Linked DNA regions of Macaca fascicularis. The protein of the gene in region 1 purifies or fractionates together with the protein of each later gene. This does not show direct contact. Links are inferred from orthologs where the notes say so. Each region holds a gene or a part of one and is shown on either strand. Other genes may lie near its edges. The genes, in order: POLR1C, POLR3C, POLR3H, POLR1F, POLR1E, POLR3G and POLR3E.

Region 1 (3,500 bases):
TGGCACAGTGTCAAGTATAGTACCTCCAAGGACCAGGGCTGGGCAGTCTTTAGTGCTAACATCCCCTTTAGAGCTCACACATCTTGCCCTTCCATGAATGACCCCTCAGTTTGGCTTCCCCAGCCTCAAGGTCCACTCAGGCACAAGAGCCACAGTACCCTAGAGAGTGTCACATGACACCATTGTCATCCAAGGATAAAACAGACCAACTAGGCTATATCTGTGATAAGCAGCTAGCAAAGCCACTGGTCTTCTAGGACTAAGACCAGGTGCCTTCCGCAATCTCATGGTCTTTCAGGTCCCTGGTTACTTTTCTCAAAGACCATCTCCAAAAGAAAAGAATACATGCCTTCGCATCACAACCTGTACTGTGAGTCCATTCTAGAGGTCACTGAAAGGCCCTATAAACAGGACTCGGATATGGGACCTGGCCCTGACATTATTACTGGCCATAAAGGCAGACTTAATCCATACAGAAACCAGTGTGTCCATGTGCTCTGCACAAAAACAGACCTGTTGTCCACCAATCCACTGACAAGAGGGTTTCCATGAGAGCCGAAGTGGACTGAAGCTATAGTTTTTAGCTGGTGTGGACCAGAGGCAGGGTCAGATTGGGAAGAGGCAAAGCTGAGGAAGCAGAAGTTGGAGTCTCATGTTGCTCCCTCTTCCCGTGTGGTGCTCTGGGTTCCTGTGGATTGTGAAGGCGATCTCAATAGTGTTTCCCTCCAAACCTGATAGCTGCCTATTCCTGTATGGTTGGGGCTGTGGAGGGTGTAGTTGTATTTATTGTGTTGTAATATTTTTAACATCCTGTGACTTCATGCTAGAAGTTTTCTATTGTTTATAGAAACTTTTTGTAGAAACATTAACTCCAAAGCACATCTGCATGTCAGTAAAAGTCTCAGTTTCATACAGAAAGGGACCCATCTGCCTTTTTCAACCTAGTCTTAAAACCAGTGACATACTCCAGAGTTACTCCATGAGCACCCTGCAAAAGGGGACTGAACAGGAAGAAATGTGACTGATGAACCTGGTCTTTCAAGCTTTCTGAAATGGTGTGCCAGTTAGAAAAGGATTTCTATCCTGACACACCCAGACTAGGCAGCCCATACCATTCTCACAGTGTCTTTCATATGTGGCTGCTGGGCCTGGCCCAAAGGAATTGCTACTGTTCTTTGTTGGAGCTGTCAATAGCGGCATGAACTTCCCTGGTAATCCGGGAGACAGGTGAAATGGTGCATTCACTCTAGCTTGAATGTTTTTCTAGGGGTTTGGCTGTACTCCCAGAAACCACCTTAATTTGCCAATTCTCAGGAGGTGTTTTTTGTTGTTTTTGAGACAGGGTCTCACTGTTACCCAGGCTGGAGTGTACATCTGATGTTCTTAATTGCTAAAGGTCAAACCAGTTCTGAAGTGAGGCCCTGTTTTTCGCAGTGGCTCACACCTGTAATCCCAACACTTTGGGAGGCCCCAAGGCAGACAGATCACTTGAGGTCAGGAGTTTGAGACCAGTCTGACCAATATGGTGAAACCCTCTCTCTACTAAAAATACAAAAAATTACACATAGCCAGGCGTGGTGGTACACACCTGTAGTCCCAGCTACTCAGGAGGCTGAGGCAAGAGAATTGCTTGAACCCAGGAGGAGGAGGTTGCAGTGAGCAGAGATTGCACCATTGCACTCCAGCCTGGGCAACAGAGTGAGACTCTGTCTCAAAAAATATAAAAGTTGTCTCAAAAAGTTTTGTTTGGACATGAGTTTATTTACATCTAAGGCCTTACAAAGGCCTAAAAGTCTCATTTTATGGCACATTTAACAAAATGTATTGATTAAAAATAAAGCTGGAATTGTCCCAGAAAACTCAGGATCCCTAGTCACACTGGGCTCTCTGTACAGCAGTCCTGTAGGGTGGGTCAGTCAGAACCCAAAGCTTCAGCTTGCCTCAGGAACATCCAAGCTCAGTCCATCTGAACCGCATCTAGTTCATCCAAGAAGCGCCGGCACTTCCCCATCAGTACTTTGATGGCTTCACTCACCAGCACATCTGGTGGCAACACCCCCGTTGACTCAACAGAGACTGGGGATCAAAGAGACACTTTAGCCTAGGCGGGGCTTGCCTGTAGAAAGCCCCTGTTACTCAAACTTCACATCTAGACTGGAAGGAAGCTGCAGCACCAAAGAGTACTGCCCACTCATCTCACCACTTCATACTCACAGATATAATGATCTCGAACCCGGGCAAGCCTCACAACCTTCTTTAGCTTCTCATGCCGGAAGATTTCTCTGCTGAAGGTATCCAGCCGGGGGTTGGCAACTCTGGCCACCTTTTTACCTAATGAGAACAAACCACGTTTTTTTATTCTTTTTTCTAATTTGCCCCTTGGTAGCAAACCATGTTATACTTTTAGGAACCCAGGGTTTTTATTTCTGTCACCTTCAAAGAAAATATAATTTAGGTCCTAACCTGAACAGCACCCCAAATACCATACCTTGGACTTCCTGCACCTCAATAACACCAGGTGAGAAGCACCTGCTCAACTCCTCAGCTGCCTCCCCTTCCACGGGCTCAAGCAGGGTGATGTCTGGCAGGAGCCTATAACTGGCTGTTGCCACTGGTGAAAACTTGGCATGATCTTTGCCTGGAGAGGAAGAGAGAAAGTGCCTATACGAAACCCTTCTAGGATTAGGAAGAATACTCTTCCTAAGCTGCTAACAGCAAAAGCACGATGCTCTTGGCTTTCTACCTGCTAGGAATATCTCAGCTGAGTTCCCTAGTCAGCTTGCCCCACTGCAACCAAACTACCCCTCTTCCCAGGAAGGAACACAGGGTTCTCACCAATGCCCTTGACACAGTGCATAAGCAGGTCAATTTCTTGGCCAGGCCGCAGCTGAGCAATGAGGATGTCATCGTGCACTGGTCGGATAGTGCCCTCTGGGAAAAGATCAGCCTGATTCCCCAGGGGGATCCATGTCATATGCCTGGTATACACTGGAGGAAAAACATGTCAAAAGATTTCAGTTCCTAAAACTAGCAGCCACCCACAGGTGGGGCCTCTTCCTCACCCTACCACTACTTACCTTTGTGGTTCACATACAGTTCGTTGGGGTCAGAGGAATCTTTAGCAGCATGGGGGTTCCGAGTGCATCTGACTTGGAGACGAAACCGTAGGGTATCTATCTCTGTGCCGTCTTCATCTCCTGCACAAATGGAGGGAGCTCTTAAGAACTAGTAAACATCTGGCCGGGCGCGGTGGCTCAAGCCTGTAATCCCAGCACTTTGGGAGGCCGAGACGGGCAGATCACGAGGTCAGGAGTTCGAGACCATCCTGGCTAACACCGTGAAACCCCGTCTCTACTAAAAAATACAAAAACTAGCCGGGCGAGGTGGCGGGCGCCTGTAGTCCCGGCTACTCGGGAGGCTGAGGCAGGAGAATGGCGTAAAAACCCGGGAGGCAGAGCTTGCAGTGAGCTGAGATCCGGCCACTGCACTCCAGCCTGGGC
Region 2 (4,234 bases), on another chromosome or scaffold:
CTGTGAGCCGGTCTGCCACTTTCTTCACAACAGCTGACATTGTCAGTTTGCCATTCAACAGAAGCTCCTCAACGATCAGTTCTCCAGTGTCACTGTACAGAGTTTTGGTAGTATAGATGTACCGGGGATATCTAAGCATTCGCAATACCCGGCTGCACTGGGCTTCATACTCCACCACACCACGTTTGTGCACTTGATAACTCACCAGGTTATGTTGGATGAGGACACACAGGGCTTTTTTCACCTAGATGGGACATAAAGAGAAGAGAGGAAAGACCTGAAGATATAGCTCATTACTGCTGGAAATTTTTTGTCCAACAACTTACTAAGCATCAGAAAATGGCTAGATAATTTCTGCACTTATTTTCTCTCCATTGGAGTAGCTAATAAGAATCAGACATCAATACAATAAATCAGGAAGATTCCTTGCTATATTTACTCTGATCCTTATCTTTCTTTTTTTTTTTTTTTTTTTTTTTGAGACGGAGTCTCGCTCTGTCGCCCAGGCTGGAGTGCAGTGGCCGGATCTCAGCTCACTGCAAGCTCCGCCTCCCGGGTTTACGCCATTCTCCTGCCTCAGCCTCCCAAGTAGCTGGGACCACAGGCGCCGCCACCTCGCCCGGCTAATTTTTTGTGTTTTTTTTTTTTTTTGTAGAGACGGGGTATCGCCGTGTTAGCCAGGATGGTCTCGATCTCCTGACCTTGTGATCCGCCCGTCTCGGCCTCCCAAAGTGCTGGGATTACAGGCTTGAGCCACCGCGCCCGGCCTGATCCTTATCTTTCAAAACACAATTTACTTTCATCATTCTCATTCCTTAAAGGCAGTACTGAGATTAAAAGACCTATTGTGAATAAATGAGGTATGGCATGGGAAGAGCAAAGATTTGCCTAAAAGCTGTCATGAACTAGGAACACTTTGAGAAACAAAATGTTGATGCCTAAGTCCCATCCTTTTCTTCCCCAAATAACATTGTTCTGCTCCCAGGGCAGGTTTTCTTCATTTTTCCCTTTCTGGGGTGAGAAGAACAATATTCAAAGATGGGTGAGATAAATTAGTGAAATGACAGAAAATTAATGTCATTTAGACATACCTGATCCAGTGATGTTCCTGTGTCATGAGCAATTACTCTTAGTGGCTGGCTGCCGGTTCTTATCAGATGGACTCCAATTTTTTCTACAATCTCTCCAAAATGCTCTTGCAGCAACAAAGAACAGAGCTTAATTTCTGCTTGAGTCATGGTACTGGGGAGTCTGAGAGCTAGGGAAAAAACACCAAAACGGTACAATGGAAAGTCTTTCATGCTGGAAGCAGAGCTGCTGAGTGTAAATTCATGTATTCTTTCTGGAGGGCAATTTGACAATACATATCAAAAAGCCTTAAAAATCTTGCATATGTTTGAAACAACAATTTCTTTTTGGATATTGTATCCAAGGAAAGAATAAAAAGCTAATAATAATGAAGTCATTAGTTCTCTCTATAATACAGACTTACTGGAAGCAATCTGACGTCTAACAATAAATGATGGCATACCCATACAATGGCATACTATGCCAACAAAGTTATTTAGTACCATGTGTATTCGTGTAGAAGAAAATTATTCATAATAGGCTGGCGCTGTGGCTCATGCCTGCAATCCCAGCACTTTGGGAGGCCGAGGTGGGCGTATCACAAGGTCAGGAGTTTGAGAACAGCCTGGCCAACATAGTGAACCCCTTCTATACTAAAAATACAAAAAAAATTTAGCTTGGCGTGGTGGCGGGCGCCTGTAATCCCAGCTACTTGGGAGGCTGAGGCAGGAGAATCGCTTGAAGTGAGGAGACGGAGGTTGCAGTGAGCTGAGATCGCGCCACTGCACTCCAACCCGGGCAACAGTGCGAGACTCTGTCTCCAAAAAAAAAAAAAAAAACAAAAAAAAAGCAAAAAGAGGAAAATTATTCATAATATATTAAGTGACAGAAGCTGAAAAAATATAAAGATTCAATTATTGTAAAAAAAGGAAAAATGTATGCATAGAAAAAGACTGTGCATCAAATATACCTCTATGGGATTATGCATGATTCTGATTTTCTTTAAAGATTGGGAGTAGATGATTTTGCAGTCTGTCACAGACCTTAGTTTCTACACTTCATTGCTTGGAAGAATTAAGGTCACTGTTCACAGCCCGGTGGAAGTGAGCAGGCAGTGTTATTCTTAGTTCATAAAGGAAATGATAATTTCGAAAAAGAAATTTAGGCGGTAAAGGACTGCTTCTCAACAGGGCGTGTCAAATAGGAGATGAGGTTACGTTGTTTGCAGGACAGCATTCAATTCTTAAACTTCTACTCCTTGACAAAGTTGACACAATCAGAAACGGACGTAGTTTATTATACGATTACTTCCTTATTACAAATTGCTACCAAACATTACTTATTTCTTACAATTCGTAAGAAGCCTTAGTATCACCAGAGACCTATTTCGTCCATCCGCGTATCTTTGGAGAAGCATTTCCAGATCCCTTGCCATCCTCGGAAAGGACTTACAAGACGCTTGGCTCCTAGCTCTACACTCCCTTTACACAGGTTCCCATTCCGGATTTGGTCTCTTGGTCCAGTCAGTGCTGCCACGTTCAGACAGCATTTTCCACTAACCTCAGGATCAGCGCAGTTCAGAGGCACCAACCCCAAAGCTGCTGAACTTCCCGCAACGGCTTCCTGCGGCTCCCGCTGGCCTTCTGAGCGGAAGTGGAGCCCACCGCCCTTTCAAGGAAGAGGACGGCCACCGAAGAGGACGCGGAAAGGCAAAAAGCGCGTGCCGCTCTACGCTAGAGTTTCGGCGGCTTCCGGGGACGCTCTTTCTTTCTTCTCGCTGGAAGGCTGGAGGACCAGCGAGGGGCTGTTTGTGGAGCCGGCGGGCGGGAGGTTTGCCTCTCCTTCCTGCGCCTATTTGGTGCTGGGAGGCGGGCCGCAGGGTTGCTGTTGGCGCCGCCGCCTCTCTGGGTCTGGCCGACTCACGTGACCGACGCGGGCTCTGAAGCGGTGGGCCGCGCCGAGGCGGCGGTGGCTACTGCAGCCCGGGAGGTAGCGGCCTGGCGAGGGACGGGCCGGCTGCCTTCTCGGACGGCCGCGGCGGAGGACAAAAATGGCGGAGGCTTCGGCGGCCGGGGCGGACTCGGGCGCCGCTGTAGCCGCCCACCGGTTTTTCTGCCACTTTTGCAAGGGCGAGGTCAGCCCCAAACTACCGGTAAGAGCCCCGTGTTCTCTGTACTTGGGAACCTCATAGATTCCTGGCTCTGATGTCCCGGAACTGGGTTTGGAGCTTTCCGCACACCCTTGACTCCCAGGACATCGGTCTGCCGAATACCTGCTGCCCACTTTTCCAGCCACTGGCCCTAGACCCTGGGCGTCACGGCTCCGGCCCCGTACCTCCTGCCCACCTCTTAATTCATCGTGGGCTGCTTCACCTGATCTCACCTCTTTACCTCTCCTGTCCTTATTATTATTATTTTTTTCTTAGCAAGTTTCCCTCTGATAACTCTCCCCTCAATTTTCTTGCATTCTTTTATACCTGGTCTTTTCCCCACGATGACCTCCCCCCATACTCCTTCCGCTGTGTCTTCTCACCTTCCTCTACGTTCTTTTCCACTTTTCACTCCCCCCGCCCCCGCCACCTCCCTTGTCAGTGAAGCAAAATAGCGGATTGCTGAGGATTGTCCCTATTCGGTTTTCTCTGGGGAAGGAAGGAAGCACAGAAAGGGGGTTGGATGGTATCTGTGAGGCGAAAAGGAGGATTTTGCTCTTCAGAGGTTTCCAGGGTCCTTGTGAAAGTGAAAATAGCAGCGTACTAATGACTTGCAGACAGCCTGCACTCCTATCACTATTGAAGGAAATGGCTTTAGGAAGAAGGCAGGACGTACTGTTTCAACTTCGTTTATTTTGGTTGTCATGTTGCTAGTGTCTTTAATACCATTGTTCCGCCCCCCGCCCTGTCCCTTTCTTCACTTAAGAAAAAGAGCCGGGGTAGAATGTTGGGGTTGCTACCTCCGACATGAAATTGGTTTTCACGAGTTTCTGCCAGACTGTTAGCTGCTTGAGAGGCAGTGCTGTGGTTGTGAAAAAAGCACTTTTGTAGGTCAGGCGCGGTGGCTCAGGTCTGTAATCCCAGTACTTTGGGAGGACGAGGCAGGAGGATTGCTTGAGGCCAGGAGTTTGAGACCAGCCTGGGCAACACAGTGAGACTCCTCTCTACAAAAAACAA
Region 3 (4,138 bases), on another chromosome or scaffold:
GACCTCGGGTGATCCACCAGCCTCAACCTCTCAAAGTGCTGGGATTACAGGTGTGAGCCACCACGCCCTGTCTGTATTCCTTCTTCACAGGGCCTGTGCACATGCCAGTTCCTGCCTTCAGGGCTCTTCTCTCCACCCAGTTCCCCTCCCACCCCAGAAAGGAATCCTCTGGTTGGCTCTACTTCACCATCAGATCTCAGTTCCAACCCCACCTCCTCACCAAAGCCGCAGGTTCCCTCATTCCAGGGGATGGTCCTTTGTTCCCACAGGTGTGTGAACATCTGTCCCTCATAGCATTTACCTCAATTTGTCACCACACCCTCAACTATGGACCCCTCTCATTCATATCTGCTTTTCCCAGCACACTATAGCTCAGAGCCTTGCCTCTGTTTCATTCAACAGACAAATGGCTGGGCGCAGTGGCTCACGCCTGTAATCCCAGCACTATGGGAGGCTGAGGCAGGCAGATCACCTGAGGTCAGGAGTTTGAGACCAGCCTGGCCAACATGGCGAAACCCTGTCTCTACTAAAAGTACAAAAGTTAGCCGGGCGTGGTGGAAGGCACCTGTAATCCCAGCTACTCAAGAGGCTGAGGCAGAAGAATAGCTTGAACCCAGGAGGTGGAGGTTGCAGTGAGCCAAGATTGCACCACTGCACCCCAGCCTGGGCGACAAGAGCGGGACTCTGTTTAAAACACAAACAAACAGGCCGGGCGCGGTGGCTCAAGCCTGTAATCCCAGCACTTTGGGAGGCCGAGACGGGCGGATCACAAGGTCAGGAGATCGAGACCATCCTGGCTAACACGGTGAAACCCCGTCTCTACTAAAAAATACAAAAAACTAGCCGGGCGAGGTGGCGGGCGCCTGTAGTCCCAGCTACTCGGGAGGCTGAGGCAGGAGAATGGTCTAAACCCGGGAGGCGGAGCTTGCAGTGAGCTGAGATCCGGCCACTGCACCCCAGCCTGGGCGACAGAGCAAGACTCTGTCTCAAAAAAACAAACAAACAAACAAACAAACAAACAAACATAAAATTATGGAACATCTACTGGTGCCAGGCTCTGGCTAAGTGAGGGGATACTTCAGGGAAGAAGACAGATAAGTCCCTGCTCTCAAAGAGAGGGAAAGGAAAAAGTCTAAGATGGAGAGACTGATGCGACACAGAATACCTGGAAAGGGAGGACTGCCAGAGAAATGGCAGTGGGAGGACCTCTCAGCTGGCACTAAGGCACATAGGCACGGCGCAGAGATGGCGCACAAATATTGGCTGCTAGAATGAAGGGATGAACCTCCTGACAGTTCGTTAACTCTGTACTACTAGAACTGTTCATCTTCACAAAAACAATGCACTGGCCCAGAGCGGTGGCTCACGCTTGTAATCCCAGCACTTTGGGAGGCCAAGGTGGGGAGATCAAGAGATCCAGACCATCCTGGCCACATGGAGAAACCCCGTCTCTACTAAAAATACAAAAATTGGCCGGGCACGGTGGCTCACGCCTGTAATCCCAGCACTTTGGGAGGCCGAGGCGGCGGATCACGAGGTCAGGAGATCGAGACCAACCAGGCTAACATGGTGAAACCCCGTCTCTACTAAAAATCCAAAAAAAATTAGCCGGGCGTGGTGGCGGGCCCCTGTAGCCCCAGCTACTTGGGAGGCTGAGGCAGGAGAATGGCGTGAATCCATGAGGCAGAGCTTGCAGTGAGCCGAGATCGCGCCACTGCACTCCAGCCTGGGCGACAGAGCGAGACTCCATCTCAAATAAATAAGTAAATAATAAAAATAAAACTAAATACAAATACAAATACAAAAATTAGCTGGGCATGGAGGCGCGTGCCTGTAGTCGTCCTAGCTACTCGGGAGGCTGAGGCAGGAGAACTGCTTGAACCCAGGAGGCGGAGATTTGCAGTGAGCCGAGATTGCGCCACTGCACTCCAGCCTGGGCGACAGAGCAAGACTCCGTCTCGGGGAAAGAAAAAAAAAAAAAAACGAAACGAAACAAAACAAAAACAACAAAAAACCAATGCATGGCTGGAAGGACAGCAACATTTTATCCCCATTTTACAAATGGAAACTGAGGCCCAGAGGGGTTAACTTGCTTGCAATTGCAAAGTAATTTAGAATTGTAGAGTCTGACACTTCCAGTTACAACTCCCTTTTTTAAGCCCATTTTCTTTTGATCCCCTTCAACATCCTGTTTCACGGTGAACAGAAGTTCTGAGACATTAAGCCGCTTGCCCACGGCCAGGGCTTGGCATGACGGAGGCCAGGCCTGCGGCCGGTGGGCGGCGCTGGCTCTCCCGCGCCAAGGCCTGCCCGCGAGCCGTGGGCCCAGTACCTTGTTGGCCAACTTCTTGTTCAGCTCCTCGGCAATGGAGTCGTTGAGCTTCCTCTCAAACTGCCAAGGGGGGATCCGCACCGTGTCCACCATCTCCACCAGGACAAACATCCCGGTCTGCGCTGGGGGCTCTGGGAACGGGAGGGTCAGTCAAGCACCAGGGCCGGGGGCGGGGAGGATCCCCGAGCCCCTTGGTCCCGTCGCGGTCGCTGAGGCCCCCAGGCTGGCAGTGAGGCTGCACGGGGCGGTCTCGGGTGCCCGGTCCGGGCCATGCTCCGCTACTACAACGGGAGGAAACCGAGGCCAGAAGGAGGCGCTCTCTGTTCAGAGCTCCGGGTGCGCGCCCGCGCCGCGCGACCCCGCCACGCCACGCCCCGCACCCGCGCCACGTGCCGCCGCACGTACCGCGCACCACGCACCGCACACAGCCGCTCGGTTTTGCGTGGCTGCGGGCGAGATTCCGAATCCATCGCTTCCGGAAAACCCACCAATAAGAAGCCTCTGTCCGTCCGAGGCGCACAGAGCGTGTACCCGCGCACTGCGTAGGGCGGAGAGAGGGCGGGGAGGGGGCGGGGCCTCCTCCTTTCACAGGAGCAGAGCGTTTTCCCAGCTCCCGACGGCGCTTTCTGGTTGCTAGGCGACCTCCGTGCAATACTGCCTGATTATACCTCGCCTGGCCTGTGCTTTGCCCGCCTTGCTGTCCTCCGCACAGCAGCAGAGTGATCCTTTGGGAACGCAAACATATATTACCACATCTTCTAAGTTAAAAAAAAAAAAAAAAACCACCGCAAACATAATATGCTTAGCACCCTTAAGTGTTCCGGAGACAAGGAGAATTGACAGGAAAGGAACAGTTGGGACTTTTCTGCGATGATGGAAATGTTCTGTATCTTCTTTTCGGTGGTATAATATTGACGTATACAAGTGTCCGAACTAATTGAACTCAGGGCAAATTTGTAGACATTATATCCCAATTGAAAAGTGATAATAAATTGGAACAAAAAGTACAACCCATTGAACTTAGAATACTAAATCCAAGCCAGGGGTGGCGGTGCACACCTGTAGTCCAGTGATCTACAATCATGCCACTGCACTCTGGCATGGGTGACAGTGACACCCCATCTCTAAACGAAAGAGAAGAAGGAGAAGGAAAAGAAGAGAAAGAAGAAAGAGAAAAGCAGAAAGAAAGAAGAAAAGTCCAAAACCTTTATGGTAGTTCACATGGCCTTGCAGGATCTGATCATACCCCCTCCTATAGCCCCATCATGCTCTCTTTCCCCAACATTCCAGTCTCATTCGTCTTCACGTGATAGTTAGCATGGGCTAAAAGAATTTGGTAACTTGCCCAAGATCATGTGTTGACAAGTGGTAGAGATGGGCCCAGTCTGAACCTCACTACCCTGCCTTTAAAAACTGGTGAGGTGTAGATGTATACTGTAGTGTGTTTTAACCAAAATAACAATTTAGGTACTTAAAAAAGATCCTTGGGGTAAATGACAGAGGCACTTGGAAATGTACGGTGCCTTAATTTGCTGATTTCACAAGCATAGTGATCTCTCAGTGACACTGGCTGCAGTGATGCTAAATGTGGCCTTCCCTGCATGTATGTTTTTATTTTTAGGTCTGCTTCTATAGGATTTGAGGTACTTGAGGACAGGAGCAAATGCTACTTCAGCTCTTTATTCCCACAATCCCCTAACACATTCCTAGGAAGCATTGAGTAAGGTGTTCAGGAGATTAACATTAATTCTTCCTCTCAAATGCTTCCTCTTTATTCCACTCCCACTACTATTGCTTTGGTTCAGG
Region 4 (3,500 bases), on another chromosome or scaffold:
AAACATATATACAGATAGGTTCAATACAGTTAGATTAAGAACAGTGAGAAAGCTGGCCTATAGGAGTAGAGGAATGATTTCAGGTTTGCCTAGGGGAGTCAGGGAAGTGTTTTCCAACAAGTAATGAAGCCACCAGGTTGTGTTTGTTTTGTTGTTTCTTGTTCCTTTGTTTGAGATGGAGTCTCCCTCTGTCGCTCAGGTTGGAGTGCAGTGGTGAGATCTGAGCTCACTGCACCCTCCGCCTCCCACCACTAGGTCTTTCTCCTTAATAGCTATAATTCCTTAAGAACTAAGAAATGACAGTTTGAAAAATAGTTGTCCCTTAATCCTGACTGTTACATTTGTAGACTAAAGTGTCAAGAGTCAGTTCCTAAATGTAGTTGTATTAACATTTGCATTTACTAGCAACAGTTTAAGTTTGGGATTTTCTCCATTAAGTCATTGACTTTAAAATTCAGGGGCGTTGCTTTGCCGGGGGAGATGCACTCTTAGAATGGCGATCATTAAAAAGTCAGGAAACAACAGGTGCTGGAGAGGATGTGGAGAAATAGGAACACTTTTACACTGTTGGTGGGATTGTAAACTAGTTCAACCATTATGGAAAACAGTATGGCGATTCCTCAAGGATCTAGAACTAGATGTACCATATGACCCAGCCATCCCATTACTGGGTATATACCCAAAGGATTATAAATTATGCTGCTATAAAGACACATGCACACGTATGTTTATTGCGGCACTATTCACAATAGCAAAGACTTGGAATCAACCCAAATGTCCATCAGTGACAGATTGGATTAAGAAAATGTGGCACATATACACCATGGAATACTATGCAGCCATCAAAAAGGATGAGTTTGTGTCCTTTGTGGGGACATGGATGCAGCTGGAAACCATCATTCTTAGCAAACTATCACAAGAACAGAAAACCAAACACCGCGTGTTCTCACTCATAGGTGGGAACTGAACAATGAGATCACTTGGACTCAGGAAGGGGAACATCACACACCGGGGCCTATGATGGGGAGGGGGTAGGGGGGAGGGATTGCATTGGGAGTTATACCTGATGTAAATGACGAGTTGATGGGTGCAGCACAGCAACATGGCACAAGTATACATATGTAACAAACCTGCACGTTATGCACATGTACCCTACAACTTAAAGTATAATAATAATAAATAAATTAAAAATAAAATAAAATAAAATAAAATTCAGGGGCGGCCGGGTGCGGTGGCTCAAGCCTGTAATCCCAGCACTTTGGGAGGCCGAGGCGGGTGTATCACGAGGTCAGGAGATCGAGACTATCCTGGCTAACACGGTGAAACCCCGTCTCTACTAAAAATACAAAAAATTAGCCGGGCGTGGTAGCGGGCGCCTGTAGTCCCAGCTACTTGGGAGGCTGAGTCGGGAGAATGGCGTGAACCCAGGGGGCGGAGCTTGCAGTGAGCTGAGATCGCGCCACTGCACTCCAGCCTGGGAGACATAGCGAGACTCCGTCTCAAAAAAAAAAAAAATAAAATAAAATAAAATAAAATAAAATTCAGGGGCTTCACCTTTAACTGTAATGCTTCCCTTGCTATATGCTGTCAAGTACTGAAATTCAGTAATGGTGAATAATACCAAAATTGCCTCTTGTTCAGTCATGCTCACAGAGATACACGTTTTCTTTGCTAAGTCCTTTCTTTCTATCCTAGTGTAACTTGAAGAATTCAAATAGTCATGCTAGAACAGAAAGAATGGGAGTTGGCAAGGGAAGAAGAGTTGATTTACTGCTCATGCATTAATGCATATTTTGTTTCTGTGTATCTTAAATCATCATTTTAACTTAGCCAACACATCAGAATCCATTGGTGAAACAGGACTACTAAAGTTGTTACAGACTAATCATATACTATTGTTTTTGACATGCGTGGTGTATTTAGATGTGTAGGCTTTGGACTCTTAGAATATCTAATCAGTATGAAAATGGCCTGGTTTAAAAGAGTGCAGTGGTGCACACCTATAATCTCAGCACTTTGGGAGGCTGAGGCAGTAGGATCACTTGAGCCCAGGAGGTCCAGGCTGCAGTGAGCCCTGTTCATGTCACTGCACCCTATCCTGGGTGACAGAGTAAGACCCTGTCTCCAAAAAAATAAATAAGTAAAAGAGGATAAAATATATCATTTTCAACTTTTTCTTTTTACAGCCTTTTAGGTGTCCCTATTGCATATGATAACATCAAAGTTGTGGGAGAACTTGGAGATATTTATGATGATCAAGGACACATTCATCTTAACATTGAAGCTGATTTTGTTATTTTCTGCCCTGAACCGGGGCAAAAGCTTATGGTATGTGTATCCCTTTTTTCTAGCTCCCTTTGTACAATTCTATAATTATGTAACTTGGAACATTTTAAAAGGTAATATATACCTTGGGACTCAAATAAATTGCTATTGTGAGTAAATAAATATTTTTATGGAAAAAATAATTTGTATCATCCAAACCTAGGTAAGTTTTTTAATATCCTCCTAAAACACATGCATGCACAGAATATATGTCCCATTCACTTTATTATTTTCATAGTCACAGAATGATTTTAAGGGGAAAAAATCAATTATCATTATTTCAAAAGTTCTCAATTCTACACAAATACCATTTCTTTACAAAGGTTTCAAAGAATATATAGCAGTATATAAAACAGGAATTCAAATGGGCTAGGCAGTAATGAAAATGTGTGAATGACAGATGACAGGGCAGCCAGTCTGTGCCTTGGAAATGGAATCTCTGTGGGAAAGGTCTTCCAGTTTTTCATAAGCTGGAAATGCAGATATTGATATGAAATCTACTGAAATAGATCCTTTTTTACTCTTTACTTTCTCCTGTCTTCCTCCAGCAGTTCTCTGTGTATACACATGTTCATATGTATACTCATATGTGGGTGTATATGCTCTTTTCTTCAGCTGATAAATATTTTAATCTAATAGATCAGAACTGTTAACTAACCCTTGATATTGTTCATAAAAATATAGATCAATTTAACCATGACAAAACCCAGAAGGCACTTCCAATTTTTTTCATTTATCAATATCGAATTAATACAAATAGTATCCTTTGCCTGTTAAACTGGAATCTTATAACTGGACTACTGAAGTTGGCAGTAGATGTGTATTTGGAAATTAAGAAACTTAACTTTCATCTACTTTGTGTAAATTATTATTTTAAATATAAACATGTAGGCCAGGTACAGTGGCTCACCTACCATCACAGCATTTGGGGAAGCTAAAGCAGGAGGATCACATGAGGCCAGGAGTTCAAGACCAACCTGGGCAATATAGTGAGACCTCATCTCTACACAAAATAAAACATTAGCCAGGCATGGTGGCATGGATCTGTAGTCCCAGTTACTTAGGAGGCTGGGGTAGGAGGATCACTTGAGCCCAGGGGTTCAAGGCTGCAGTGAGCTATGATTGTGCCAGTGCATTCCAGCCTAGGCAACAGTGAGACCCTGTCTCCAAAAATA
Region 5 (3,500 bases), on another chromosome or scaffold:
GCTGTGCTGATTCTTCCAAGCACACTCTAGAGCAGAAAACATACTCCAGGCAAATGGCAGGAAGGAAGCCCGGGGCAACGCTTGCGGGTCTTTCCTGAGTCACCGAGTTGGGCTGCCCTTTTCTGCAACACTGCCTTTCCGCAAACACCAGCTCTGTGGGACATCAGGAAGGGCTCTTCAAAAGTATGTGAAGTAAAACAAGTCTTTATTGGAGGACTTCCCAGAGCTTCTAAGATTCCCCAAAAGTAATACTTTTCCAAAAAGGACAGAGTATGTCATATTTAGCGTTTGCTAAACTTACTGGGGCCCCAGGAGCCTTCCAAATGGCAGCAGTCTCTTCAGCACTGCATCTCTGTGGACGTGGAATTGAGTCCAAGCCCCTGCTGCTCACTCCCAACCCTCACCCACTTTCTCCTGCACAGGAAAAATCCCAGAAACCACCCCCTGACCTGCCATTGTTGTACGTCAAGCAGGTAAAGTGCTTCAGCAGTTTGGTGTTGATGATGTGGGGAACTCCAGGTCCCAGGGCACCTACAACACAAAGTTGAGTTTGATCATTTTCTCTCAAAACCCTCAGGCCACACCTCCACCATGAGTTGAGAGAAAAGCCAGGAGCTGGGCCACTGTAATGACCAGAACCAGGTGGTAAGAGAAGCAGGGCCCACAAAGCAGAACGGCCACATCGAAATGAAAACATGCTTGGTGTGCTTCAGCCTGCAGCTTGCCCTGCACAAGAGATGCTGGTGATGGGGCAGTGACAAGAAAACACAGCCGGAGGCCTAAGGACGTAGATTTAACATGACCTTAGAAAACAAAAATTGTGCTGAAAGCTCAGGGAGAGACAGGGAAAGCTGGAATTGGAATGTGAAAATAAGAACTAAGTGACCAGATGCAGTGGCTCACACCTGTAATCCCAACACTTTGGGAGACCGAGGCAGGCAGAACACCTGAGGTCAGGAGTTCAAGACCAGCCTGGCCAACACAGTGAAACCCCACCTCCACTAAAAATACAAAAATTAGCTGAGTATGGTGTAATCCCAGCTACTCAGGAGGCTGAGGCAGAACAACAGCTTGAACCTGGGAGGCAGAGGTTGCAGTGAGACGAGATTGCGCCACTGCACTCTAGCCTGGGCGATAAAGTGAGACTCCATCTCAAAACAAAACAAAACGAAACAAAACAAAAAAAAACTGGCTGGGCATGGTGGCTCACGCCTGTAATCCCAGCACTTTGGGAGGCCAAGGCGGGCAGATCATGAGGTTAGGAGTTCAAGACCAGCCTGACCAACATGGTGAAACCCTGTCTCTACTAAAAACACAAAAATTAGCCAGGTGTGGTGGCGGGCACCTATAACCCCAGCTACTTGGGAGGCTGAGGCAGGAGAATCCCTTGAACCCAGGAGGTGGAGGATGCAGGGAGCCAAGATCGAGCCACTGTATTCCAGCCTGGGTGACAGAGCGAGACGCCATCTAAAAAAAAAAAAGAACTAAGCAAATACAAGCTGAGTGCGGTAGCTCACACCTGTAATCCCAGCCAGCACTGTGGGAGCCCAAGGAGGGTGGATCACCTGAGGTCAGGAGTTCAAGACCAGCCTGGCCAACATGGAAAAACCCCGTCTCTACTAAAAACACAAAAATTAGCTGGGCATGGTGACGCCCGCCTGTAATCCCAGCTACTCAGGAGGCTGAGGCAGAACTGCTTGAACCCAGGAGATGGAGGTTGTACTGAGTCAAGATCATAGGTCTGCACCCCAGCCTGGGTGACAGAGCGAGATCCTGTCTCAAAAAAAAAAAAAGCATGACTAAGCAAATACAGTCATGTCCCACATTACGTTCTTTTGGTGAATGACAGGCCACATATGTGACAATGGTCCTGTAAGATTTTGTTTGACACAGGGTCTTGCTGTCACTGAGGCAGTGGTGCATTCATAGCTCACTGTAACCTTGAACTCCTAGGCTCAAACACTCCTCCTGCCTCAGCCTCCCAAATAGCTGGGAGTACAGGCGTGCATCACCCCAGCTAATATTTTTATTTTTTTGTAGAGACAGTGTCTTGGTATGTTGCCCAGGCTGGTCTCAAACTCCTGCCCTGAAGTGATCCTCTCACCTTGGCCTCTCAAAGTGCTGAGATATAGGCATGAGCCAACATGCCCAGCCGGTCCCAAAAGATTATAATATCATAGTTTTACTATTCCTTTTCTGTTTAGATACATTTAGATACACAAATGCCATTGTGTTACAATTGCCTATAATATTCAGCATAGTAACATGCTGTATAGGTTTGCAGCCTAGGAACAGCAGCTTATAGCATATAGCCTAGGTGTGTAGTAGGCTATACCATCTAGGTTTATGCAAATATACTCTGTGATGTTTGTACAATGACAAAATTGCCTAAGGATACATTTCTCAGAACATATCCCCATCATTAAGTGACACATGACTATACTGAAAAACAGGAGTATAGACTATTGGATGCCCAATCACAGTAACAACTAAATATGCCTTGTGCCTAAAACCACAGACATCTCCTGGGTTTCCAACTCTGGGTAGGTATGAGGGTGTGACCCACAAAGCGTCCTGGCTACAGGTGACACTGGGTTACCATCAGATTGACGCTCTCCTGTTAGAAATAAGCTGACACAACACAAACCTGCCACAAGCTTTCAAGATACATATGTGTAACTCATAAGCGCTCTCTCCACACACACACACACACACACACACACACACACACACACACACACACACACACACGGCTGATGTTTGTTCTAACAGTCCCTTAAAATTTTCATTTTATTTGACCTGGATATTCTACCTTGCCTAATGCAGAATAGAAGTAGCAAATGTTAGCTCTGGAAGGACCCTGAACTCTCATATAATCCAACGTGGCCCCAATTTTCAGATGAGAAAAGGGAGATCCAGAGAGAAAAAGGGGCCTGGCAAGTCCCCTCGACATGTCAGCAGTACCAGCAGGAATCTCACAGTTGACAATAAAGACTTGGACAGACACACTGATTTTCTTCTCTCATTAGAACTGATCTAAGAATTATAGACAAATAACAGACTGGAAACAATTAGAATTAAATGTTTACCATAGACTTACTTTTCCGCTTAACTACCCTCTGAGCTCGAAATTTGATGAGGGTATCCAGAAACCATATGCATCGGGCCTGGCGGTCTCGGCTCTCCACGTCTGATGGCAAAGACTTCAACGCTTCTATCACAAAGGTGCAATGGCTAAAACAAGGAAAAGAAAGAGAGGCTTGTGTCAGGGTAAGATGGGCTCTGTCAGGAACTATTTCCCTCTCACAACAAGAGCAGCAGGCGCCTCTCACCCCTGACACACTCAACAGCTAATGAAAGCCTGGGCAACAAGGCAAGACCCCATCTCTACAAAAACTTAACCAGCATGGTGGCACACTCCTGTGGTCCCAGCTACTCAGGAGCCTGAGGCAGGAGGATCACCTGAGCCCAGGAGGTCAAGGCTCCAGTGAGCTGTCTGC
Region 6 (4,232 bases), on another chromosome or scaffold:
GCAAAAGAGCGTATACCTCTCCTTCCATGAAGGCTTATTAGTAGTTGTCACAGTAACGGTTTTCATAATTCTTTTGTAATGCTGTCTCATGAGTCTCCTTATCATTTTTCCTGGCTAAGTTGGGAGGTTAGTCAAGTTCTCAAGGGAATTTCTTAAGCCTAAATAGATGTTTCTGGCCGGGTACAGTGGCTCACGCCTGTAATCCCAGCACTTTGGGAGGCCGAGGCAGGCGGATCACTTGAGGTCAGGAGTTCAAGACCAGCCTGGTCAACATAGTGAAACCCCATTTCTACTAAAAATACAAAATTAGCCGGGTGCGGTGGCGGGCGCCTGTAATCTCAGCTCCTTGGGAGGCTGAGGCAGGAGAATCGCTTGAACCCAGGAGGCGGAGGTTGCAGTGAGACGAGATTGCGCCACTGCACTCCAGCCTGGGCAATAGAGACTCTGTCTCAAAAAAACAAAAAACAAAAAAAAAACCTAAATAGATGCTTCAATAGCTGGGAAGTGGGGAGTGGAGACAGTGACCTGATGTTAACAGAGCGGATGATTTAAGAGGCTGGCGGGGCCACACCCAGTCATTATTCACTTTTCCCGTCCTTACCAGGTGCTCCTTTTCTCTATTTGAGCCTTTCTACCAACTCGCGTTTCTCTCTTCCAAGGACAGACCAAATCAAAAAAAAAAAAAAAAGAGGGTGGATACAGAATTTTATTTTTTAGAAGAAAAGACAAACCATATTAACAACTTCCTTCCCTACGATATAAAATGCCAACAGTTACGAAAACAGATACTGAACAGTCGGTCCTTAGCTGCAATCTGCGGCAATGACTAGTGCCTCAACAAATCATAAAGTCACTGGATTTGGAAAATAACCTACTATCAGTAAGAGCATAAATACCCTTCTAACTCACTGCAAACAGTCCCAGGAGTGGAGACTGGGTAAGATCTGGAAATTCGACTTAAAAAAATTCTGAAGGGAGCAGGACAAGGAGGGGAGGTACCAAGCTATCTCCAAACACCCCTCAACCCAGAGGCGCTTTAATGAATCTCTACCCCCGACTTCCCCCACAACTTCTCCACATGCCCCTTTAACTCCCCTCTACCCTCACCACCCCTCCCAAGTCTTCGATTGCTTCCTCGGTTACCTGTTCCCTAAGTCTCGAAGCTTGGGCAAAACTCTGCAGCCGAAGCGCCGGCCGGCAAGTAAGGGGTGCTGGCAGAGAACACCGGCGCTCGAGTGCCGTTCGTTCCACCTCAGGAGAAACTCGCACCGCCCTCCACGCGGCCCCAGGACCGCGGCGTGAGCCCTACCAACTAGCCCCGCCCACTCCCTAGGCAGGCCCCACCCCCTCGGCAAAGAGCTTTTTTGCCCTTGGCAGGCTCCGTAGGCTCCGTACAACCTGCTAGGCCCCACACTTTCCGCGCCAGCTAGGAGTGCGCGCTGTGGGGAGCCAGTGGGTGGGCGGTCCTAGCGCTTCCCACCCTTGCTCCGGGCCTCTGCTGTCACACGCCCGGGGTGGCGAAAGGGTCACCACCTGAGTCTCCATTCTGCTGCAGTGGTCCCTGCGTTACAGCTCCCTCGTGGTGCGCCTGCCGAGGCTGCTGTAGCTCCTGCGCCCCCGTGCTGGTGGCGCAGTCTCTGCTTGCTGCCGACCTGGCGGGAGGGTACGAGAGCGCACGCTACTGGCAGCGTCGGTCTGCGTCCTTCCTCCTCCTATTCTGACTCCCGCATCCCCCGCCCCCGCCTCACTCAACGCCTCCTCCCTGGCTGCAGGCAGACGGCTCCACACAGCCGCAGCGCCCGGTGTTTACACAGCCTGTGGGAGACTCGCACGCCCACACTCACCCCGCCTGGCTGCATCCCTGCCCAGCATGTCGGCGCTCGAGTGGTACGCCCACAAGTCTCTAGGCGATGGTATTTTCTGGATTCAAGAACGCTTCTACGAGTCGGGCAACCGTGCCAACATCTGGCTGGTGCGCGGCTCCGAGCAGGACGTGGTGATCGATACAGGCCTGGGGCTGCGCAGCCTCCCTGAGTACCTGTACTCTTCCGGCCTCTTGCAGGACCGCGGGGCCAAAGAGGACGCGGCGCGCCGGCCGCTGCTTGCCGTGGCCACCCACGTGCACTTCGACCACTCCGGCGGCCTCTACCAGTTCGACCGGGTGGCCGTGCACCACGCCGAGGCCGAGGCGCTGGCTCGCGGGGACAACTTTGAGACCGTGACCTGGCTCTCCGATAGCGAGGTGGTGCGGGCGCCCAGCCCCGGCTGGAGGGCCAGACAGTTCCGGGTACAGGCGGTGCAGCCCACCCTCATCCTGCAGGATGGTAATGGGCCCCCGCGGGCGCGCGCTCTCGTTAAGGGAGGGTATTGGGAAGAGACTGTCCGAGTGCCGCATGTTGCAGACTTGCGTGGCCATAAAGGGGATTATTTTGGCACCTCGCGGAACCACTTCTGTTACACCCTTCCCTAAGTAAAAACCTACTTGACCAGAGCCAAAGCCATCACAGCCTTCCCTGCCAGAGGCCAGCTCTGGCACCGTATAGCAATTCTGAGTACTTCTTTGAAAGCCGGCACTACCCCTCCCTAGCCAGTTTCCTGAGTCGGCTGTAGTAGTAACACTACAGAGACTTGTGACTGACTAGGGATTTCTTATTCTTTCCCTAAGCACCTACCCGACATTTCCAGGAGCTTTCGTAGTGAGTAGACTTTTAAGGAATGACGCCCCACGGGGAGTGCATGTCATGATCTGTGCTTTTGAGAACTGCAGACTTCATCAGCTTGGTCACCACCGGGTATGGGCAGTTCCCACCTGTAGCCTTAGAAAGTCATCAGAGCAGCGATTCCAATCCGCTAATGCGATTGGAAACCTCTCAGATAGGTTTCTGTTCTTGATGTTGACTCACGATTGCAAAAGCTTAATAGTAATCATAAACGTAGAATAACTTTATGACAGGTATCTGGTCCGGCTGAAAGCAAAGCCTGAGAAAGATCAATAAGGAAGTAATTTTCGGTAGAGGTAAATTATGTGGACTAATGCATAGGTAGCCATGGTCCTCTTTGGCTCTGTGAAAGACAAATATGGAATTCAGAGAGAAATCCATGGGATGAAAATAAATAGATTAGGGCCTCAGCCCATTTCCCTACGCAAGGACTTAAATAATTGAGCTAATTTGCCACATCAGCAATATTTGGTATATTAGTTTTCTATTTTCTTTTTAGTATACTTTTGATTTCATTTTATCCTCACAACACATTTAAAGTGAGGCCACTGACCTCCCAGTTAAATGGCTTGCCTGAGACAGATCATGATAAAAGCTAGGATATGAATCTAGGCACAATAGATCAAGGCATGCAGAACGTACATAAATCCTACCTCATAAATATATGATGATAATTCTGAGTAGAATGTGAAAGGCCCCTTCTTTCCTTTAGTGTGAGACTATTTTAATTACCAATTTGGTTTATTAAAACATGCCTCTATATAGTAGAAAAAGCCAGTTGCTGCAGTATAGTGAAGCTCACTTTATGACCAAACAATATGGCAAATAATGAAATATTTTACAAAAATCAGTTTATCTCACAGATGACATCTTACTCATTTGAGATATTTTAAAAATTGCAGTATTATATTGTATTACTTATCGGTGCTAAAAAAAAAAAAATTGCAAGATTCTGTACCTCAACCCCACCCAACAAAAGTCTTCATTAAAGTTTTAAATCTAAAATTAAAAAAAAAAAAAAAACTGGTTTAGATGGGAGTCTTACATTATCTGACAATATGAGATGAAAGTACATGTACATTAAATTTTAATTTACATTAAAGTCACACCTAATTACTGTATTTCTTGACAAAAATGGGTACTTTTAGGGGTAAGATTTCCATGCAGTTGATGGGTATTCAGACTAAATTCTGACACCCGGACCAAAAATGTTTACATTAGTATTAAAATATACTTAAATTATTGAAAAGAATAAATTACTTTTGAAATTGACTTTTGATTCTGTATCAGCAATGGGAAATCAAAGGTGAAAGAATGATAGGGATTGTTTTATAGATGAAGAAAGAACCCATGTAGGCCTGAGTATCATGCAAGAGGTCACATCACCCATCTCGGAAAGAGCTGGGACTAGAACCCAGGTTTACCAGTTGATGGTAGAATCCTAACATTTTGGGAGCTGAAAGGGGCCTGCAAACTACTTGTGTGGTACTTTAAGCCTTTAAAAGGGTGAAA
Region 7 (4,115 bases), on another chromosome or scaffold:
AAAAAAAACAACATGAAATTCATCTCATATAAATAACCCAGAACATACACACAGTTGCGTAACTGAAACAAAGTTTCATATAACTCTGTCTCTACTATATGTCAGGCAGTGATGTTTTCTACTTCATTCATTCAAAACAAAAAATGCTAGCTTCAATTCCACTAAATCAATTTTACTTCCCACTAATAAATCTCAATCTGCAATGTGAAAAGAACTCATCCATGTCTCCCTATGGCTACCTGCCTCAAAGTCTCCCAGCAACAGTGAGTCCTTGGAAAGGCTGGCGTGGTGGCTCATGCCAGTAATCCCAACACTTTGGGAGGCTTAGGTGGAAGGACTGCCTGAGACCAGGAGTTCAAGACCAGCCTGAGCAACATAGTGAGACCCCCCCCCGACCCCCGGTCTCTCTTTAAAAAAAAAAAAAAAAAAAAATTAGCCCAGCGTGGCCTGCAGTCCCAATGACTTGGGAAGTTGAGGCAGCAGGACTGGTTGAATCCAGGAGTTTGAGGCTGCAGTGAGCTATGATCACACCACTGTGTTCCATCCTGAGTCACAGGGTGAGACTCTATCTCTATTCGGGGCGGGGCCAGGCACGCTGGCTCACGCCTGTAATCCCAGCACTTTAGGAAACTGAGGCAGGCAGATCACCTGAGGTCAGGAGTTCCAGAACAGCCTGGCCAATAAGGTGAAACCCCGTCTCCACTAAAAATACAAAAATCAGCCAGGTGTGGTGATGCACACCTGTAATCCCAGCTACTTGGGAGGCTGAGGCAGAAGAATCGTTTGAACCCAGGAGGCAGAGGTTGCAGTGAGCTGAGATCTTGCCACTGCACTCGAGACTGGGTAACACAGCAAGACTTCATCTTAAAAAAAAAAAAAATGTAAATCATTATTTCCCTGCCTAAAACCTGTCAACTGTCACTGTCACATAAAACAAAACCCAAACTCCTTTCCATGAGCCGCCTAAGGCCCTACATGATCTTGTCTCTGACTTCCCCTGACCATCCAGGCTGGTAGCCACTTGCTGGGCCTCCACCAAGCCAAGCCCCAGTCCACCCAAGGTCCTTTGCACATCATCTATTCCCCCACAGGGATTTCCAAGGTTGCTCCTTTTTATTAAGTATCATCACCGCCTGCAGGAGAGGATAGGTTCCCTGGCCACCCTATTTTAAAAGCCTCCCCCAACTTCCTCCCAGGCACTACCACATCTCTATTTTCTTTCCTTAATGGGTCTCACCTTAATCTGGAACTACCTGGTCTATTTGCTCAGGTGTTGTCTTCTGCAATAGAATGTAAGCTCCATGAAGGCTTCTCAGTGCTTCAGTTTCCTCAACTATGAAATGAAGATTAAAAAAAATATATATCCACTGCTAGATCTCTCAATACCTAGAACAGTGCCTGGCACGAAGTTGACACTCAATATAGTACAAAGAATACTTTATATTTAATCTTCTCATTAGCCCTATTAATAGAGATTTATCATCTTCAATTTGGAAATGAGGAGACTGAGGTTGAGAGAGAAGTAACTCATCCGAGGTGGAATCAGGACAGAAACTAGGGTCTCGTTGATGTCAAAGATCCTTATTCTTATTCTTAACCAGTATACTGCACAGATCTTCGATAAAAGGCAGTATGGTTAAGTGGGTAAGAGCCTGAACTCCGGAGCAAAACTACGCGGGTTCAAATCCCACCGCAGCTGCTTCGCATCTGTGACCTACTTGAGTTGTCTACGTCTGGTATTCTTCCCTATTTTCATCCCTAAAGTAGGGAAACTAAGTACCGACCTACAAACAGCTGCGGGGAGGAGTAAAGACGGTAATAAACGTAACCTATGGGAAGGTTCGTTATTACTTGACAACATGTTTTCTGCCAATGTAGGCGGGTAAAAACGCTGCAAGCGGGAGCGTCACCTGGTTTCTAATGAGCCATCACCACAACCCTATGAGGTAGGAATTTCTATTATCCCCATTTCACAGATGAGGAACTGTTGAGATCGCTAAGATCTCTTCTTTCCGCCTCCAAGCCCAAGGAATTCTAAAGCTAACCCAAAGGAACGACCTTGTTTGTTTACTGACACCTCCTCGGACCGAATGGTCAGGGCCGTATCCGGAGCACAGAGTTGGCTCAGTAAACACTGAATGGTTGCCTGAATAAATGAACGAGGAATCCCAGGCCTCGCCAGGCAGAAGCTAATCCGGTTCAGCTGCGAAGAGGGGGCTCCGGCAGGCGCAGGTGCCCTCCCTGCCCATCGGGGCGGGCCGCCGACCCCGAGCCTCGCTGTCCAATGGGTTTCTGCTCCCTCGCGGGTGGTCAGGACCCCTTCTCACGCCCACCACGCAGTCCCTGCCGCGAGCCGCCACCACACCCGACGCCGAGGACAGGTGTTCCTTCCGTAGGATGCCCCCCAGGCCCGGGTGGGGCAGGTCGGCAGGACCCTGAGTCACCGCCGGCAGCGTCGGCCGCGGCCTCCCCAACTCCCAGGTGTCGGGTCGGGGAAGTAGGAGTCCGGGGTCGGCCTGGAGCCGGCTGCCCCTCCTCCCGCCCGAGTCCCGAGAGGCCCCCAGCCCCTCAGCACGGCGCGGCGCGGGCCTCCTTGGCCTACTCGGGAATCTAGCCCAGACCCACGTCATGAGTGCGGTCCGGCTCAAGCCCCAGCTCGGGCGCTGCCAAGATGGGACTCACCTCTCCGCGGGGGCCGAGCGCGGACGGCGGCAACCGCCCAGTTACCCGCGGGCTGCAGATGCGGCGGCGGCCCGGCTCTCCTCTCAGGCGGCGGCCATGTTGCTGGTGGAGAAACTCCGGCGGACACGTGGGGGGAGCGGGCCGGCCCCAGCGCTTCCTCTTACCCACAATGCCCCGCCCCGGCGCACACGGCTCCGCCCCCTCCGCCGCGCCATTCATGCAGGCCGTGAGCCCCGCCCTGCAGCAGGGGGCGCTGATGGCACGCGCAAAACAGCCGGGCGTGTATGCAGCGGGGAACAAAAAGAAACCAACCCTGGCAGCGGTGGGATTCGAACCCACGCCCCCGAAGAGACTGGAGCCTTAATCCAGCGCCTTAGACCGCTCGGCCACGCTACCCAGCTGGAGAAAGGGTTTGCCAGAACGCTACTTAATGCTTTTGCATTCGCATTTCATCTGGAAATCGCGAGGCGTTTTCGCTGAGGTTTTTTTGTTTAATGTGTGTTCAAGCTGATCCCTATAGAATTATTTTAAAAAGCCGTGTGCTGGAAAATAAACACTTGCTCCAGTTTTTAGACCCAGGTTTGTTCCGAATAGGTATTAGAGCAAAACTCATTTTTAGAAACTGTACTCTGAGATGGATGGTTACCCTGGAGACCCCTGGTTAACTCACAAGTAATCCATACGACCCGGATTGCGTGTCTCCGGGAGAAGAAATCGATCTGATCAGAAACACGCCCTAGGGGATCTGACGGCCAAACCCGGGGGCTGGTCTGGGCAGTTGTCTCTGAGAAATTATGTGTTTAAATTTTTACTTACACAAATAACACACGAATTATTGTAAAATATTTAAACTTTGCAGATAAGGTACAAATGCTCTTTGACTCTTGACTCGCATCCTAGGCCCCTCCGCAGAGGTTAAGTAACCATTATTATCAGTTTAATATGTACTATGGTTTGAATGTGTCCCCCAAATTTCATGTGTTGGAAATTTAATCCCCAATGTGGCAGTATTGTGTGGTGGGCCCTTTAAGAGGTGATTAGATCATGAGGGTGGAGCCCTCATGAGTGGATTAATCTATTCATGGATTCATGGGTTAATGGATTAATAGGTTATCTTGGGAGGGGGACTGATGGCTTTATAAGTGGGAGCTTTATAAGTGCTAGACCTGAGCCAGCAAGTGAACAGCTCAGCACCTCCTCCATATCATGGCTTGTACTGCCTGAGGACTCTGCAGGGGTACCCCACCAGCAAGAAGGCCCTCGTCAGATGCACACTCTTGCGCTTGGACTTATCAGCCTCCATAACTGTAATAAGTAACTTCCTTTTCTTTACAGATTACCCAGTTTCAGGTATTCTGTTATAAGCAACAGAAAATGGACTAAAACACTATATATCTTTTGTACAAAAATGTACAAAAATTACAAAGAAAAAA

What was found.
Region 2: the proteins of POLR1C (region 1) and POLR3C purify together in Homo sapiens (affinity purification with mass spectrometry; 5 studies listed by BioGRID and IntAct, counting the BioPlex papers as one, with this or other methods). This does not show direct contact. The link is inferred for Macaca fascicularis from reciprocal best matches to the Homo sapiens genes POLR1C and POLR3C.
Region 3: the proteins of POLR1C (region 1) and POLR3H purify together in Homo sapiens (affinity purification with mass spectrometry; 5 studies listed by BioGRID and IntAct, counting the BioPlex papers as one, with this or other methods). This does not show direct contact. The link is inferred for Macaca fascicularis from reciprocal best matches to the Homo sapiens genes POLR1C and POLR3H.
Region 4: the proteins of POLR1C (region 1) and POLR1F purify together in Homo sapiens (affinity purification with mass spectrometry; 3 studies listed by BioGRID and IntAct, counting the BioPlex papers as one, with this or other methods). This does not show direct contact. The link is inferred for Macaca fascicularis from reciprocal best matches to the Homo sapiens genes POLR1C and POLR1F.
Region 5: the proteins of POLR1C (region 1) and POLR1E purify together in Homo sapiens (affinity purification with mass spectrometry; 5 studies listed by BioGRID and IntAct, counting the BioPlex papers as one, with this or other methods). This does not show direct contact. The link is inferred for Macaca fascicularis from reciprocal best matches to the Homo sapiens genes POLR1C and POLR1E.
Region 6: the proteins of POLR1C (region 1) and POLR3G purify together in Homo sapiens (affinity purification with mass spectrometry; 4 studies listed by BioGRID and IntAct, counting the BioPlex papers as one, with this or other methods). This does not show direct contact. The link is inferred for Macaca fascicularis from reciprocal best matches to the Homo sapiens genes POLR1C and POLR3G.
Region 7: the proteins of POLR1C (region 1) and POLR3E purify together in Homo sapiens (affinity purification with mass spectrometry; 5 studies listed by BioGRID and IntAct, counting the BioPlex papers as one, with this or other methods). This does not show direct contact. The link is inferred for Macaca fascicularis from reciprocal best matches to the Homo sapiens genes POLR1C and POLR3E.

What each region holds. Positions count from the first base shown.
Region 1 is NC_088378.1:128,000,112-128,003,611, forward strand, and holds part of POLR1C (DNA-directed RNA polymerases I and III subunit RPAC1), read right to left. Parts: intron 3,198-3,500; coding exon 3,078-3,197; intron 2,989-3,077; coding exon 2,836-2,988; intron 2,639-2,835; coding exon 2,489-2,638; intron 2,332-2,488; coding exon 2,215-2,331; intron 2,077-2,214; coding exon of another isoform or gene 1,958-2,076; exon of another isoform or gene 1,741-1,957; intron 919-1,740; exon of another isoform or gene 1-918. UniProt on the Homo sapiens protein: DNA-dependent RNA polymerase catalyzes the transcription of DNA into RNA using the four ribonucleoside triphosphates as substrates.
Region 2 is NC_088375.1:113,589,753-113,593,986, forward strand, and holds the start of POLR3C (DNA-directed RNA polymerase III subunit RPC3), read right to left. Parts: upstream 2,801-4,234; 5' UTR 2,504-2,800; coding exon 2,419-2,503; exon of another isoform or gene 2,039-2,418; intron 1,259-2,038; coding exon 1,092-1,258; intron 245-1,091; coding exon 1-244. Other genes in the region: E3 ubiquitin-protein ligase RNF115, read left to right, coding at 3,119-3,220. UniProt on the Homo sapiens protein: DNA-dependent RNA polymerase catalyzes the transcription of DNA into RNA using the four ribonucleoside triphosphates as substrates.
Region 3 is NC_088384.1:10,065,842-10,069,979, reverse strand, and holds the start of POLR3H (DNA-directed RNA polymerase III subunit RPC8), read right to left. Parts: upstream 2,801-4,138; 5' UTR 2,752-2,800; exon of another isoform or gene 2,464-2,751; 5' UTR 2,444-2,463; coding exon 2,333-2,443; intron 1-2,332.
Region 4 is NC_088377.1:110,491,711-110,495,210, forward strand, and holds part of POLR1F (DNA-directed RNA polymerase I subunit RPA43), read left to right. Parts: intron 1-2,186; coding exon 2,187-2,328; intron 2,329-3,500. UniProt on the Homo sapiens protein: Component of RNA polymerase I (Pol I), a DNA-dependent RNA polymerase which synthesizes ribosomal RNA precursors using the four ribonucleoside triphosphates as substrates.
Region 5 is NC_088389.1:61,826,433-61,829,932, forward strand, and holds part of POLR1E (DNA-directed RNA polymerase I subunit RPA49), read right to left. Parts: intron 3,235-3,500; coding exon 3,101-3,234; intron 532-3,100; coding exon 450-531; intron 1-449. UniProt on the Homo sapiens protein: Component of RNA polymerase I (Pol I), a DNA-dependent RNA polymerase which synthesizes ribosomal RNA precursors using the four ribonucleoside triphosphates as substrates.
Region 6 is NC_088380.1:94,475,898-94,480,129, reverse strand, and holds the start of POLR3G (DNA-directed RNA polymerase III subunit RPC7), read right to left. Parts: upstream 2,801-4,232; 5' UTR 2,673-2,800; intron 2,325-2,672; coding exon of another isoform or gene 1,871-2,324; exon of another isoform or gene 1,775-1,870; intron 1,668-1,774; exon of another isoform or gene 1,144-1,667; intron 652-1,143; exon of another isoform or gene 602-651; intron 1-601. Other genes in the region: acyl-coenzyme A thioesterase MBLAC2, read left to right, coding at 1,871-2,324. UniProt on the Homo sapiens protein: DNA-dependent RNA polymerase catalyzes the transcription of DNA into RNA using the four ribonucleoside triphosphates as substrates.
Region 7 is NC_088394.1:21,283,828-21,287,942, reverse strand, and holds the start of POLR3E (DNA-directed RNA polymerase III subunit RPC5), read right to left. Parts: upstream 2,801-4,115; 5' UTR 2,683-2,800; intron 1,334-2,682; 5' UTR 1,238-1,333; intron 1-1,237. UniProt on the Homo sapiens protein: DNA-dependent RNA polymerase catalyzes the transcription of DNA into RNA using the four ribonucleoside triphosphates as substrates.